Tribolium castaneum: one gene and its partner. The protein of the gene in region 1 interacts with the protein of each later gene in a biochemical or structural test. Links are inferred from orthologs where the notes say so. Each region holds a gene or a part of one and is shown on either strand. Other genes may lie near its edges. The genes, in order: Abcd3 and Pex19.

What was found.
Region 2: the proteins of Abcd3 (region 1) and Pex19 form a complex in vitro, tested with the Homo sapiens proteins (4 studies listed by BioGRID and IntAct, with this or other methods). The link is inferred for Tribolium castaneum from reciprocal best matches to the Homo sapiens genes ABCD3 and PEX19.

The regions. Positions count from the first base shown.
Region 1 is NC_087395.1:13,833,449-13,837,927, forward strand, and holds the start of Abcd3 (ATP-binding cassette sub-family D member 3), read left to right. Parts: upstream 1-1,516; 5' UTR 1,517-1,694; coding exon 1,695-1,816; intron 1,817-1,868; coding exon 1,869-2,108; intron 2,109-4,479. Other genes in the region: pont (ruvB-like helicase 1), read right to left, coding at 208-470, 526-829, 880-1,020. UniProt on the Homo sapiens protein: Broad substrate specificity ATP-dependent transporter of the ATP-binding cassette (ABC) family that catalyzes the transport of long-chain fatty acids (LCFA)-CoA, dicarboxylic acids-CoA, long-branched-chain fatty acids-CoA and bile acids from the cytosol to the peroxisome lumen for beta-oxydation.
Region 2 is NC_087401.1:15,465,607-15,468,975, forward strand, and holds Pex19 (peroxisomal biogenesis factor 19), read left to right. Parts: upstream 1-1,536; 5' UTR 1,537-1,639; coding exon 1,640-1,706; intron 1,707-1,753; coding exon 1,754-2,391; intron 2,392-2,440; coding exon 2,441-2,548; 3' UTR 2,549-2,607; downstream 2,608-3,369. Other genes in the region: pickpocket protein 19, read left to right, coding at 384-534, 586-686, 739-844, 896-923; Pgk (phosphoglycerate kinase), read right to left, coding at 2,690-2,829, 2,879-2,979, 3,030-3,286; uncharacterized protein LOC103315247, read left to right, coding at 3,369-3,369. UniProt on the Homo sapiens protein: Necessary for early peroxisomal biogenesis. Acts both as a cytosolic chaperone and as an import receptor for peroxisomal membrane proteins (PMPs).

The DNA of each region.
Region 1 (4,479 bases):
GTGACAACACCAATCTCTTAAAAATAACTGTCACAAGTGTAAAATTGTCTTAAGACAAAAATAATGTATGTGTGAGTAATTTAGCAATTTTTCAAAAACATGATTAAATTTTGTTGATTTATTTGTACTGTTCAGTTTGTCTTGAAACTTGAAAAAAAACACGGAGCTACCGTTTATCCAAAAATATTAAGAGCGGATTATACATACTTGAACCACCTCCTTCTTTTTGTGAACTTCCCCCTTTGGAAGCGGTACATATTCCTCAGCTTCTAGATCAAACTCAGTCGCATATCCATCAGATCTGCCTTGACGCTTAACAGCCCCACTATTGGCTTCAATATAAATAACGTCACCTACTTCGACTTTTTCCTTCTGAAGGGCTTCATAAATACTGGGGTCGAGTTTCAGTTGTTTGCTACCTTTTGCAGTTTTCAGGCCAATAATTACATGACTTACTGTCTTTCCATACCCTACAAAACCAAAAGAAATATATAGAACATTGTCAAAGTGTCTAAAAACTAAAACCTCCAGCAGGATTCTCCGTTTCAACAGGAGTCAATTCAGTAACTTCCCCCTCATAAACCTCCTTAGTCTCCCTAATGCGCAGCCCTATGGCCCTCCGGAAATTCTCCATCAACACCTCCGTCTTCTTAATCTCAGAACTGTAAACCTCGGACCCCACCATGGGGCAAAAGGGCACCTTATTACCCAGTTCTTGCGCGATGGCCAAAGCTATCGCAGTTTTACCGGTCCCAGGGGGACCCGCTAGAAGCACAGCCCGTCCGGCCATTTTCTTACTCCTAATCATATCCACCACAATCCCTGCGGCCTGAAACCACTGAATTTAGCCGAACTCTGATTAAAAAAGACAAACCTAACCTCCCTAGCCTGTTCTTGGCCGACCAAGCCGGCCGCTGTTGGCAACGCGAAACCATTCTCATCTAACCCTAAACCTTTAATGTGGCTGTGGGCACTTATTCGTTGCGTTTTCACCGTACTTTTCACTTCTTCAATCTTCATTTTTGGAAAACACGCTAACCAAACTTTGCTTGATCAATTTGAGTTTTATTGTTGTGATGTTGGTATGGCAACAACCGGTTGGAGAATTTTGGAGCGTTGGGGTGGTCATAGTGACCATTTCAAATTCATTTTTGATTAAAAAATCGTTTTTAATATTCTGTTCGAACTCAGCAGTCACAAAGTGATTTTTGAAATGTTTCATTATAATACTATGACCTAGTCAAATTTTAAAGAAATTGCGAATTTAATTTTACATTGATCGAGTCACCTGAGACACCTGAGAAATGGCATGTCAGCTCAACATGACAGAACGGCCATTTGTCAATTATCACAAAATGGAAAACTTTCTAATTTTCCTTTAATGAATCCTTTCGATTTTAACGATCGGTTAATGCATTCCACAGGTGAGTATTTGGCGTGTTTGTTGTCTCTTTCTCAAATTGCGGCTGTCCCTGTCTTGCAGGTTCGGCCAAAATCATGTGATCGGTCGAAGCTCCAATGACAGTCGCTGACTGGAGCTCAGTAAAATCAGTAAAATACTTGGTAAAGTCTGCTTAAACGTTAGGTGTCAGTGTTTGTGGATGAGTGAGTGGAAACAAATACAATTGATCGGAAAACTGCTTGGTCACGATCACTCAATACTTCTTGTGAAAAGTGCGAAAAGATGAAGTAAAATGGCACCCAGTTTTAGCAAATATGTGACAAGAAACAATGCTCTTGCAGCCGCTGGAGCATCGACAGCTTTATTATGGATTTTAATATCACGACGAAGAAAAAATTTGTACAAACTGGACAGGTATGAAAATTGACCCCACTTCGAGACTTGTTTGACTCCGGTTTTGTTCTAGGAGAAAAGTCAGGAAAACCGTGGATGAAGAAGTGAAATATTTTATATCTGAGAAGAAAGAAAATAGGATTAAGGCGCAAGTTGATAGGCAATTTCTTAAGCAACTTAATCACCTACTTAGAATAATTATCCCAGGATGGACTTCACCTGAGGCGGGATTTCTATTCCTTGTAGCTGCGAGTTTAGTGGCTAGATCTGTGTGTGATTTATGGATGATAGATAATGGAACGAAAATAGAAAGGTAAATCGAACAATGAGTTGTTGGTTACTTCAGTTAAGGAAGCTTAGAGGTTATGTAATTGCATTCCGAATCTGAACTTTATGTGATTAAGTAAAGGCGTCAAATATTTATGCCGTCTTAGCCAACGGTTTTGGTAGAAATATTTTTGCTTTTTTACCGTGTTATCATCGTGACTGGATATTTGTATAAAGTCACCGATTTAATTAAAATTCATTAACCTTGAGGGGTTCATTATCTGTCTGAATCTAAAGAGGAAAAATACCACCAATATTTTACCGTTGTGATATTGCTGTTGACACAGCTTTCACCCTACAGTTGGTATTTTTTTAATAACACGTGTTTCATAAATTGCTTCGCATTGCCATTATGTAATATTTTGTTTCCTTGTATTGGATATCTGTATACAGACCTGGATTATTCATTGCGATTTTTTATGGTAAACATACGTAGAGAGTTGCTAAGCTCTGAATGACGTAAATGTATGCATTGTGCATCGTTTTTAATGAGAATTGTGCTCATTTGCTGATGGAAATTTTATTATTTTAATGAACTATGTACTTACCTTTCTCTCAAAACAATCAAGATTAGAGATTTTGTTTAATTACGTTACGGCAAACGTGTCTTATTGACAATTTCTAAGTTTTGAAAAAAAGTACAGACGGATTTAATATTAGCGAATAAATTAGAAATTATCATTGTGTTGATAGCAACAACATAAAAAAGTTGTGATAGCGTATTGTTTACAATGAATTAACAGTTTTGGGGAGTAAAAATTATTACATCGAAATAAATTATATTTTGTCCTAATCGTTACAGAACTAAAACATTAAAATACGTGTCATGTAATTGTAAACTGAGTTTGTTGTTTTTTTTATAAATCATTTACATGAAAATTGTTACTTAATGAATGAGAACTTTACAAATGTGCGTTTAAAAATGACTTCAGATAATTACTAATTAGATAGGTATATTATTTAGGAGGTTGTAGTTAAATTCTGCTCAAAAAAGTACGAATGAAATGTTAAATTTTTAATTTAATGAGTGCAGAAAACCATACGAGTTTTACAAGGACACATTGTCTAACAAGTTGATTACATTTTTTTATAATGGAACAAAATTAATGAATCTCATGGACTTTGAACCATGAAGAAAAGAATTACTATTATTATTTTCGATTTTAAAAGACAGGTATTGTAAGAGTACTAAAGTACGTGTATCTATTAGGTATTTTATTTCGACACTTTTAACATTTAACATGAGACTTAATGAAAATTAAATACATAGTACTTTATTAGTTGTAAATTTTCGTAAATTTCGGTGTGTAAGTATTTGTAAAATTTTGCAAAATAGATTACTTTTCTGTTCCAAAATAGTTCTCACATTTAGTAAGATGCACGAGATATACGCCTATTATTTACTCGTTTCTTACAGTACAGTTTCTAAACTACATATTTTTGTTAGCTACCTGCTTTAGTACGAAATGCGGTTGACGAAGAAAAACAACTATATGGTGCTTCTTAAATTTATTAAAAAATTGTTATGCAAATACACACAAAAACTGTATGCAATATCAATTATTACTACCACAACAAACGAATTTCTTGTTTAAAAATTGACACCAGCCCACCTGCAACTGATTCTCAGCCTACGAATGTGGCATTTATCATGGATAACCCTTTTCGGGGGCGATTAATGATTATGGATGATTGTTTAAATTACTGCTTGTTTAATACATATTCAGAACATTTTCCATTTTATAGTAATACTACCAGGTGAGCAATCTTATCGACCACCTAAGAAAGTCGAGATTTCTAGTTAAATAAAAAAAATATTGTATTTTACACGCCTGATTGTAAGGTATCGCCCCTAATTTTTTGGTAATTTTTCACTTACAGATAAAGATAGTAATTAAAAAAAAAGTAATTTTTGACCAAAAAGTTAAATTCTGAATTTTATACTAAACCACGCGTATTTTATAAGGTTGCCTCACCCAGTATGTAAATTGCAATAAAAAAAATTTGATATTGAGTTCTATTGGAATGTGAACGTTTAAATAAAAATAACTAACTAAAAATTGTTATCTTGGCTAGAGAAGAGATCCGGAACAACTTTATAAAGTTTTAAACAGATTGATCTGGATTAATAAGTCCCTTTTTGAAATCGTCACAAAAATCATCGTTATCGATATGAAATCCCGTCTATTAAGTTTCACGATATCGATGAATTTCGTCTGTACACAACATTTGTTTGGGTCACTGTGTCGACCACAATGACGATATCACTTTGCAATTAGCAACATGGAAACCAAAGCACTTATTAATACGATTTATTATAAATAAGTACTCCTTCCTCTAGTATTTATGGTGGGTAG
Region 2 (3,369 bases), on another chromosome or scaffold:
ATTTTAGAAGATAAAGATTAAAATCCAATTAATGCAAAAACTCAAGTCTTAAAAACGTAATTTTTACATGCCTTTTTAAAATGCTAAGCCTTTTAAGACTTATATTAAAAAAATTATCGTTAGTGAAAAATGCTGAAAGAAAAAACTCGTTCGTGGAAGACGTCTGTTTTGCGAGAAAAATGAGAAGCAAACTGTTAAACGTGGGTACGGATGCAAAAAAGAAATGTGTTTTAAAATTTAATTTTTTAGTTGAGGTCATTTTTTTGCCCCTAAAATATGTGCATTCTAAATTTCATAAAAATCCGTTGACAAATATCTGAGATATCAGGCTCGAAAGTCTTAGCTGAGACACCCTGTATACTTTTTTATGAATGGTTTTATAGAGAAGTGGACTTCGCTCTTTCCGGACGACCTTGAGCCAGGCCCGTATTTGCAAAAAGAGCGCCAAGATTCGCTACGTTGCGATAATAAATGTTACTCGTCATGTGCTGAAACGGTGTACGAGGCCCATGCCAATTCTTTCCCAATTTTGAAGTTTGGCAAAATTATTTAAAAAAAAACTTTTTTTTTATTTCTAAGTTTCAGTAAAACGGACAACAACGTTACTCGAATTTTTGTGTATTATTCGGGCAGGTTTTCAAAGTTGTACCTTCAAGACGTTGTCTATTACTGGTTCGAAGTTTTGAGTAATTGATAATTTATTATAGTGTGAAATTTTCTTCTAATTAGCAATTCCAGGCAATTTTGGCGGCATTTTTGGAATATTTGTTGGTTGGAGTTTGATATTTATTATACAATTGTCGGCCTATTACACGCGAAAAATCCTAGAGAAAGTACTTAAAACGTAACCAAATCATTTTTTGTGGAACGTTGGATGGACTTTACTTTATTTTAGAGTGATGACATTGATTTTAAACACTTAGATACGAAAAGTAGTAAGAAAGCCTTTTCAGAATACTTTGATTTTTTGCCCTGTTTTTAAAGTATATTTAAAAATTAATATTTTTTCAAAGATTTCGCCCTGTTTTTATATTGAGCACAAAAATGAATAAGGTTTCATCTGAGCCAGTGGCGGAACTAGGGGTGGGCTCATGAGGGTCCATATTTAGTTTCATTTTGTCTGCTTTTTGCTGTTGGATCTCAACCCACTCTTTTATTATTTATAAAATATATATTTAAATAATAATTTAAAATGTAAATAATAAATATAATAAATGATAATAAATAATAATAAATAATAAATAATAAATTAAATATAATTATGATATATTTGCTATTTATACTAACGGAATTAATCTTTTCGGACGTTACATAATTTAACGTAAATCCTTTTATTCTACAAACATTACCTGTATTACTCTTATAACAATAACAAATGCGTCTTAAAGAGTGTGAAGCGAAAAAATAAATTTTTATTTTCAAATTGCCCATATTTTTCTGTCAAAAACGGCAAGGTACCAACCACACAACAACAAATTATAACGAAAAACGTGGTGGTACACCCTTTTGTAGAAACCTGTAATTGATAGTTGAAGGGAATAGCGACAGGTGGCCTAAAAATCCCCAAATCACCTGACATTTCCCTAACCTCACTTTTGTAACAAATTCTTAAAGCTTCCCGTTTTATACCAATTTTACAATGAGCGAGTCAAAAAAGCCCGATTCGGCCTCAAAAGTGGACGCCGAGTTGTCCGAGCTCTTGGACAGTGAGTCCCGTGGTGTAAAATTCGTTGCGTAACTCCCTCATTTCAAGGTGCTTTGGAAGACTTCAAAAGCGAGCCGCCCAAAGACAGCAAACCTGCGCCCCCACAGGACGAAATCCCGGACGTTGAGTGGTCGGACGATTTTATCCGACAAGCCGCAGCTCAATTCGAGTCAAACTTTGCCAATTTGCTTGGCTCAAACCCTGACGGGTCCCAGTTAACCCCCGAGCAAATCCAGGCCAAGTTCCAGCAAATGGCAGAGACGGCGCAACAAGTCATCGAAAATCCGAGCGGAGACTCGGGTGATTTCGCAGCCACGATATCACAGACGCTCCAGGGGCTGAGTCAGGGGGCTGAGGGGCTCCAGAACCCCAATTTGGAGCAGGATATTATGAACTTGTTTGCGGGACAGGGGGACCAAAACGCCTTTATGCCTTTCATGCAAGGGATGATGCAGAGTTTGCTGTCCAAGGACGTGCTCTATCCGAGTCTCAAGGACATTTTAGACAAGTTCCCGGAGTGGTTGAGCAAAAATAAGGACAAGTTGAGTCAAGAAGACGCAGAAAGATACGAAAAACAACAGAAATTGATGGAGGAGATCTGTGCCGAGTTAGAGAAGGAGAAAGAGAGTGATAGTAGTGAGCAAAAGAAGGAGAGGTTTGACAAGGTCTTGAGTTTGATGCAAAAGGTGCGTTTTTTGTTTAATGTTGTTCCAAGAATGATTTTTCTCGAATTAGTTGCAAGATTACGGACAACCCCCGACCGATCTAGTGGGCGACGTGGGGCCCCCTTTGCCCCTCGAAATGCAAAACAACGCCGACCCCAATCAGTGCAATGTAATGTAATTGGTGAAAACACTGTTGTTTGTTATTTATTATTTAAATAAATTGTTTGGGAAAAAACCGCCATTTTGTTCACCCAATACCAACCACACAAACTCAAAATCACTAGTTTATTACAATAATTTACAACAAAGTTCGGGAAAATCAAGCGTCGGAGAGGGCGGCCACCCCTGGTAGGACCTTGCCCTCCAGTAGCTCCAAACTGGCGCCCCCGCCCGTCGAAACGTGCGAAACCTTATCCTCAGTCTTCCATTTTGCGGCACAAGTGGCCGTGTCACCGCCACCTAGAACACCAAATTTGACAAAAACCGCCCACAAAAGTGATTTAATTACCAATAATCGTGACACAGCCCCTTTGAGTCGCCGCCACGACTTCATCCATTATGGCTTTGGTCCCTTTTGCAAAATTTTCAAACTCGAAAACACCGGCTGGCCTAGAACCCATAGTTGGCCACGGTTGCTAAAGTCAGTCGTACCAACTTACCCGTTCCACACTATCACTTTGGCCCTCTGAATGGGGGCTTTGAACGCTTCGATCGACTTCGGCCCGATGTCCAGCCCCATCCAGCCGTCGGGGATCCCCGCCTCGAGAGTGGCAGCCCCCACTTGCGCCTTCTCGTCGAATTTGTCCGCCGTGACGAAATCGCAAGGTAAGTGAATTTGCACGTTGTTTTGCTTCGCTTTCGCGAGCAAATTATTGACGATCTTCGCCCCCTCGTCGTCGTACAACGAACCCCCAATCTGTGGACAAATCACACCGGCATTGCAAACAATTTCTCAAGCCACTGTCAAAATTGATGGTTCTGTACGAAAAATCCAAAAAA